2 linked regions of the Daphnia pulex genome follow. Each later gene encodes a partner of the first gene's protein in a complex. Links are inferred from orthologs where the notes say so. Each region holds a gene or a part of one and is shown on either strand. Other genes may lie near its edges. The genes, in order: AT-rich interactive domain-containing protein 2-like and protein polybromo-1-like.

The links.
Region 2: AT-rich interactive domain-containing protein 2-like (region 1) and protein polybromo-1-like share a complex: the UniProt entries of both Homo sapiens proteins name them as parts of the SWI/SNF-B (PBAF) chromatin remodeling complex. The link is inferred for Daphnia pulex from reciprocal best matches to the Homo sapiens genes ARID2 and PBRM1.

Annotation. Positions count from the first base shown.
Region 1 is NC_060025.1:6,746,666-6,750,922, reverse strand, and holds the start of AT-rich interactive domain-containing protein 2-like, read left to right. Parts: upstream 1-1,361; 5' UTR 1,362-1,501; intron 1,502-1,564; 5' UTR 1,565-1,586; coding exon 1,587-1,678; intron 1,679-1,819; coding exon 1,820-1,913; intron 1,914-2,073; coding exon 2,074-2,171; intron 2,172-2,242; coding exon 2,243-2,403; intron 2,404-2,461; coding exon 2,462-2,680; intron 2,681-2,755; coding exon 2,756-3,834; intron 3,835-3,903; coding exon 3,904-4,062; intron 4,063-4,126; coding exon 4,127-4,257. Other genes in the region: zinc finger protein 593 homolog, read right to left, coding at 1-84, 142-239, 312-390, 475-485. UniProt on the Homo sapiens protein: Involved in transcriptional activation and repression of select genes by chromatin remodeling (alteration of DNA-nucleosome topology). Required for the stability of the SWI/SNF chromatin remodeling complex SWI/SNF-B (PBAF).
Region 2 is NC_060022.1:3,968,882-3,972,706, forward strand, and holds part of protein polybromo-1-like, read right to left. Parts: intron 3,153-3,825; exon of another isoform or gene 3,010-3,152; coding exon of another isoform or gene 2,781-3,009; intron 2,679-2,780; coding exon of another isoform or gene 2,613-2,678; intron 2,549-2,612; coding exon of another isoform or gene 1,713-2,548; exon of another isoform or gene 1,414-1,712; intron 1,318-1,413; exon of another isoform or gene 1,071-1,317; 5' UTR 1,036-1,070; coding exon 140-1,035; intron 78-139; coding exon 1-77. Other genes in the region: short-chain dehydrogenase/reductase family 42E member 1-like, read right to left, coding at 1,713-2,548, 2,613-2,678, 2,781-3,009. UniProt on the Homo sapiens protein: Involved in transcriptional activation and repression of select genes by chromatin remodeling (alteration of DNA-nucleosome topology). Required for the stability of the SWI/SNF chromatin remodeling complex SWI/SNF-B (PBAF).

The sequences.
Region 1 (4,257 bases):
TCTAACTCTAATGCTTTCAGTCTACGCTTGTGAACTTTAGTCCGATAGTGGTGACTGAGGGAATGCTCGTCAATGAAATATCTTCTGTAGATTGAATAGAATTATATTACAATAATTTAGTGTTTGGATGAAATGACTTACGCGCAGTGTATGCAGTAGTACTGTGCGTTACCAGCTTTCTCAACATCAATTTTCTGAGCAAGAAGGCTTTCAGAATTGTGTTTCAAATCATTATCAATCTGAAAATATACATTATCACAATGAAACTTAAAAGTCAAAATATAATACATTAAATATTAACTATTATATACCTCATCCAGATCTTTAGTACGTCTTTTTCCTTTGTATTTTTTGCGGATGTGTGTTTCTCCACGATGATACTTTTTACGCCTAAAATTGTTTAAATTTTCCTTTAACTTTTATTAAACATTCATTAAAACATTACAATGCGTAATCAATAAATGTATTTTTTACTTGTAAGTCATTGCAGGAAGCTTTACGTCTTTCTACTGTGTAGTACAGGCAGATTCTCTTGCTCACTTGCTCTACAGTCTACAGCTCTACACGTGTGTAGCAAAATGGCTGCAAATTGTATTTAGAGGACTCGACTGTCAGGCACGAGATGGCGTTATATTGACGGTCACCGATACGACAACTAGATGGCGTGTAGGCTTGCATTTTTTTTTTTTTTAAATTAATCACGTAGGCATGTATTTTTTAATCAAAAATAAATAAGCGAACGATTAATCCAACCACAGAGACGTCAAATAATCGAGCACGATCTGATGAAGAAGTTGTGTCAACTCTCTCTGTTTGCCACGGTTTGCCAAAGCTTCGAAAAAACCGTGCGCTTGGTTCCGATAGGTGGCGTTGGGTCTGAAGATAGCTTTAGACAAATTTAATGCTTTGCCTGCCTGCTTACAAAGGAAAGGAAAGAAAATCGGCACGGGACTTGTGACGCGCGGTACGGTGCGCCCACAACAACTGGAACACTCTTGCTGGACTAGCCCGCTCGTGACAGAAAGTTTGCTTCCCATTGATCGGGATCTTCTTACCTGCTGTGTGGTCAAGAAACAAGTGACAAAATATTTGCAGTTAAAGTGTAGTCTGAGAACTTTTCGCCGCCATTTTGCCCTGGCATCCCCAGTGAACATAGTATTCTGCTGCACATACAACAACCAAGCCCCAATACTCTGTGACTCTTGTTCCATCCAAGTGGAATTGGAAAAGCCACTGTGTTGTGTCCACTTGCCAAGTGATTGATCTATTTCCTTGTGAATTCGTCCTTGCTCATAATGGAAGATTACGCCGTGATCCATAGCTGCCCTAGTGTTTCGAACACAAACCGATGCTAAGAAAATCGCGCCCTTGGCATCTCCCCACTCACGGCCCCTCTCACACACGTGCCGATGACAACTCAGTGATCCTCGCGCCTTTTCCTCCTTGCTTTCTGTTTTGTTTTGTTTTGGCGCCCATCGATTTGTTGGTCATTGTCCTCTCGGTACCGTTTAAGAATGCTTTGACGAATGCTTAGAGGATTGTCAACTGAACCCTAACCGTTTAGGTGTGGTGGGCCGGTAACAATAATGGCTGAACATCTCGGCAAAGACGCCAAAACGTATGCCGATGAATATTCGTCTTTTTGCCGGGAACTAAAATCCTTTCATGACATCAGAGGGTAAATAACATGCTTTGCAATTACAAGGACTTGATGATGAGTGTACTCTTCTTGCTTAGTGTGACACAAAGAAAAATTTGATTATAATGCCTATTTTGAGGATTATTTTAACATTTTTGAATTCTGTGTTTTTTTTTTAAGGACGAGTTTCAACAAACTTCCACGTCTCCACGGTCATGAAGTTGATTTATATCTTCTCTACTCACTCGTCACTTCGCACGGCGGATGGGAAAAGGTATTGGTTTCATTATATTGTCAACTTTTGAAAGGCTAAATGCATGACCTCCTTCCAGTATAAACAACTCTATGGTTGCTAGATTAAAATTTTTCAGTTTCAATTCGATATAGGTTTTTATTCTAATATAATTTTGTTTGTTTAAATGTCAAATGATTAGGTGAACGTACACGGCGAATGGGAATCTCTGCTTCCCTACTTTGGCATTCACCGGTTATGCGCCAATGGACCAATTGCTTTGAAGCAAATTTATATAAGGTATATTTCATGATAACAGTCTAAGCATGGCAAATATCAACAGATAAATAATAACCGTTGTTTACGAACAGATACCTGGATGTTTACGAGAGGATACACTTTTTGGGCGAAGAAGTTGATCGACGCGAGTCTGAACATCACGAAGAGGATGACGCCCGCAACCGACGTAAAGCCCTTCGACTTCTTCATGCCACTCCGACGTCTTATAATGCTGCGCAGCACGTTATCCCAGGTTTGACAACTGCTTTACACAATCGATTGCAGTGCATTCAATAACTTTTATTTTGTAGATCACGTGCGAAACACAGCTGGGTTGTCGACTGATGGGATACAGGTTACACCGACTGAGCGAGTGTTCCTCTCCCTTCTATGTCCTCTACCCAACGAGCAAGACTTCGCCATCAATGTTTGCAGTCTTCTTGCAATGGAAAGCCGAAGACCGTTTCCCCTCCATCAGTGTCCCCGCATCGTCGATGCTCTACTAGCACACGCTGGAATCTTTTCGCAAGGTACACCTTACAGAAGTTGCTGTTTTAAGTATACTTTTCTAATTCTATCCCACCTTTCTGGGCTTTGTCTTACAGTTGACATCCGAGATCTATTCACGGATAGTTACCGAAAATTTCGTGGGCAGAACCTCGGCCGATTTTGGCGTGATGTTGTCCCGGATGCTGACATTGTACAATTGTCTGAAGAAGATTTAGTGGTCACACCAGACGATGTTACAGCTGTAGTGGGCCCGTATTGGGATCACCGATCTGTTCATACAGCGTCGAGTGCTATTGGAGAGGCTGATTCATCAAGGACTCTACCGTCAGATCTTCTTCCAGAAGAAAATGGCAGTACATCTGCAACAAACAAAGTGCATCTGGTCGTACGCCCATTAGGTAGTGAGAGACCCATCAGATCAGTGACCTTAAATTCCAGAGGGGACGAACTTGAATCAACATTGATTGAAGAAGGATCAACATTAATTGAGGAAGAGTCTCAGTGTAGTGTCATGTTATACGAAAATGGAACGGGTCCATTGTCAGCCTCAGGATCTGATGTGGTTTCGGCTACTAGTCCGCCAAACGTGGAAAGAGTGCCCAGTTGTGAGCCAAACTTCAAAAATTGTTTGGCAAAATCAGCCAATAGCCCCATAGAACCTGCCAGCGACGTTGCAGTTCCTGGATATTTACAAAATGATGAGAATCTTGTTGCCTCCTTTGCCCAAGACGATTTTGCTGTCGAACCATCTCGGAGTATTCAGCCGACCGACGAAGATTTCGTTTGTGAGGATATTTCTGCTGCTGCTGCGCAGGAATCTTCTCAAGATGCTGAATCGCACACCAAACCAGATTTATCACATGACGGCATCGCTCCACCAATTACCGAGTCCAACGCCGCTTTCGAGTTGGAAACACCTTCACAAGCGGAGACCAATGTGGAGAGGAAAGTCGTTGCTCCCAAAAACAAATTGCCAGTTGCCATTCAAAAACCAGATAATCCACGTGCCATCCGCTATTGGCTGGATCAACGCAGAGCTGCTCGATGTCCCGTCGAACAGCCTCCAATTAAACAGGACGATCCTGTGCTACAATTAGAACCAGAGGAGTTGGATCTATTTCATGTTGGTCGGGATCAAGGTGTTCACGATGCTCTCGGTCAAAGAGTTTTACAGGTTAGAATTTTCTATTTACCTTTGGAAAGTTGCAAATTAAACCTGTTATTCTCGTGTCTTTCATTCAAGGTTCTTAATGTCATTCGCAATTTGAGTTTTGATGATGTCAATTCGGCTGTATTAGCTCAAAGCGAAGCTTGTATGCGACTTCTTCTTTTGGCTGCTCATGCCAGGTGGTCTTGTCTACCACAGTTGGCCTTCGATGCCATATCAAATGTCGCATTAGAGGTAAAGGAGTTTTGTGCTCAAAGTGGAATTTGCGGTTAGATAGCTGACGGCCATTTCTTTGCAGGTCAATTTAAAGGATCCCGCAGATTGTTCGCTGTCGGCCATTCTTTTGGGGACGGTCACACGAGGATTGGAGTCAAACGACCGTTTTATTGTACTCCGTTGTATGGAAACTTTAGGTCGTTTGGCCCAACG
Region 2 (3,825 bases), on another chromosome or scaffold:
TTTCGTCGTTAGAGTCGTCATATTGAAGGGCAGCAGTAATTGCTGATAATGACTGAGTTGCTCTGGCACGCTTACTTCTATAACCAAAAAAATATATTTATTAATAGAGAAAATTAAATGGAGTATATTAGCTTCATACCTAATTCTTTCGCTAATTTTGCCTCCAGTGTGACGAGAATGTTCAATTTCGGCTTTTCGAGAAGATACCGTTTTTCTCAGTAATTTGGCATCTTTATAAATTTGGGAACCAGGTTCGTTATAACTGCATGCATTTTTTGTTAGAAGATTCAAATCTTTTTCCATTTCATTGAGATTAGAATATTCATTGGCTTGAATTTTTGTGGCTATCTGTTTTAAGTCAATAGGATTTTCTATAACTTGGTAGTAGTCAGGATAAAGTCTTCTTGATGGCAGTAGCTGAAAGACTGAGTGAAGTAATCTTCCATCTGATGAAGTGGCATTCATAACCGCTGCAAAAAGTTCTTCGTACATGTTATCTTCATCAATTAAATGCTGGGAAGAAGACGAAGAAAAATTATCCCTCGATTCTTCAGACTCTGCATCTTCTGATTCAATAGGAGAGACATTGACAGGCTTCTTGGGGGGTCGTCCCAACTTGACAACGATTCTTTCTTTTACTGGCTTTACCTCAGGTACTTCATCAACTCTTTCACTTTCATTGATTTTATCAGCTGTTTTTTTATACAAATCCCATAAAGTGCAAGCATCTTGGTATTCCGTTGAATGTTCTGGATAAAACTTCTTGGCATTCTTAACCAACCGCTCAATATCCACAGTCATTTGGTCCAGATCTTCATACTCATCTGTCCTGATCTTTTGCTGAATTCTTAACAAATCAATTGGGTTTGACACAACATCGTAATAGGCAGGCTCTTGTCTTCTCTTTGGGGCTCTAATCAAAGCATCACATAACAGAGCTCCGTCTTCTTTTTTGAAGTTTCGAATCACGTCGTAAGCTTGCTGGCAAATTTCGATAGGGTCGAGCCGGCGGCGTTTTCTTGAATTCTCCGCCATTTCTTCCGGAACGAAACTGTCGACTTCACAGAAAACTGCGAAACAAAAATGCACAATCTTTACAAACGTGAGATATAATAGGGACTGTCACGAGGGTTAAAGGATCGTTAAAAAATGAAAACGAAACGCCTATATGTAAATAACTAAATACCCTTTTTGTGGACGCTATTGGCGTTATTGTATAGTGTGCGTAAGCGTTGCCAAGTGTAAAAAGTGAATTTTTCGTATCGATTTTTTGAAATCCCGCCAAAAGTATTCTTTACTAAACGGGATTTGATGATGCACTGTTTCTTTTTTATAATGGTTTTTTTACAGAAAAATTTAAAAAATAATAACATTTTTTTATATAGTACGTGTATGCAAATAATCGCAAAGTAACAAATTTTATATTATATTTACCCAATAACCCAAACAGCCAAAATAGGAAGGAAAGGAGGCATTGATGTTAAAGTAATAAGAAAAAAAAGATCACAGAATAATTTGGACCCTATTTAAACTTTGATTTCTCCAACCCAGCTTCTGTATTACATGTTATATAATAATAATGCAATTTAGGAAACCCTTTTATAATGTGAATTGGCATTGCAAATATTATAACTATTTGGATAGCAGAAAATTAACCCGTAAAAATTCCCTATAAAACTCTACTATAACGCAAATTTAGTCAAGAACTGAAATCACGAAGATCGATGCGGTTCTCGCAAATCAGTAATAATTTCGGATAAGTCATTGGGTCTCACGGGATGATAATCCAGCTGTTTGCGAGCCTTGTCTATAGAAAAATAGTGGGTAACACCTGTCTTGAACAATTCGGCGGGAGTGAGAAAAGGAGTAAAGTCGATGAATCGATAAATAGCACTGTAAACAAAATGCACGAAAAAAACAAGAATGTACATCAACCACATAGGTATTCGGGTAGTGGGAAACGGCTGTCCGTAATGTTCCATTAATGGTTTGAAATATTCCAAGTTGTTGACAGGACATCCATCAGATAGAAAGAACGCTTGGCCGCCTATTCCAGGAATATTGCGATTGATATCTGCTAATTTTAATGCAGCTTTTACATGTCCTTGAACTACATTTTCTAACCCAATAAAATCGACCTTTCCACCATGTTCGTCGTAGTAATTAAATCGTACCATGCCCTTACGGATAGCACCAAGCACACGTGGCAAGTGTCTTGACTCGCCTAGCCCAATAACACCAGCTAGTCTAAGTGCACATGTGTGTAGATCTCCGCGTCCGTTGCTGGTAAGGACTAGTTGTTCGGCAATTGATTTTGTGCGAGAGTAATGATCAACGTGACGATGTAACGGGAAATAAGGCAGACTTTCATCCCCGTTGAGTATTGCATCTCCACCGAAGACAACATTGTATGTGCTTGTATACACCAGGCCTTTGCAATTGTTCTCGGCGCATGCTTTGATGACGTTACGTGTTCCGACTATGTTAACCTCTTCTACTTTGTCAAAGTAGGGTGGCATTTGTTCCCGACCAGACATTCCATATGAAGCTGTGCATAATTCAAAAATAAGTTTAAGTAAATGGAGAAAAAAAAATATGAAAAATTTTCTTACCAGTATGTATAACACATGTTACATTTTGGGTTGCTTCCAATAATCTATCAATGTCCCTTACATCTCCTTTGAATACATATTAAATGATTTTATAAATATAACATTCTACGGTACATTTTGAAAAATGAATGAGACTGGAGAGCAACCATTTTAGAGAGAGTAAATTACCATTGATGAATTTCATTGTTCCATGGGAACAAGAGATTTCTTCGCTTTTCATTCCATCTGTGTTGTGTGAGACTGAATGTTCAATGTTTGGATCCCATTTTTTGGCAGGATAATTAACGTCAAAAAGAATGACTTCATGTTGAAGCTGAAGAAGTCGTAAGCCTATGTGGAAACCAATGTAACCGCCGCCACCCGTTATGAGAAACTTGTAAGCAGGTTGACCGTCCATACTTTAATGATACCTGTTTAGCTAGTAATGATCTCGTGATGAGACAACAGACAAATTATCAAAGTTAAAGTAGGCCACAAGTATTGATGAATACATAAGTGCTTATCTATTTGGGTTTCGATCGTCTGCTAATATATATGTTCATTCCTAACGCCGTTGTCAAGTCCATTCAATTCAATATCACAATATCTACCATCGTGATTCGTGACATGTTCGTGACCATGATCATGACAGAGAGAGTTGACATCACAGATAAAGACCACCGTGGTCTTTACCTGTGGTTAACGTATTTCAATCAGATTTACGGTGAAAAAATCAAGTTTTTACTTTTATACGGAGTCAACTTTTGCTACTTTTTAAGTTCATGGGGATCAATCCAATCCGGAAAGTTTTTACTTTCTCGTTTTTCTGGCCTCTGTCGAAAACTGGAAAGGTCTGAGCGATAAATATTCAAACAACCTAATAGGGAGATACGATACGTAAAATACCTTTCGAAAACTTGAAAATAGTTTTTTGGCATTGAAGTAGAAAATTACGAAATAAAAATTTCTCGATCTACGCAGTTTGCTAGCTGCTACAGGAACTCTTCGAGACTTTTTGAGTACATTTTTTACCTCTCTAGCGTTATTATTTATGTTTCACTAAGTACACGATGGATGTTTTAAAAAGTCTGATTACCCTACTTTCCTCCCTGAAATCAAGGGAGGGAAGTAGTGATCTTTCTACAGGCTGCTCTCTATTAGCGATCTATGCTGATCAATTTTAGAGAGGTTTTCTCGTACTACCGCCAAAATGAAAAACGTAACAAAGTAGGTT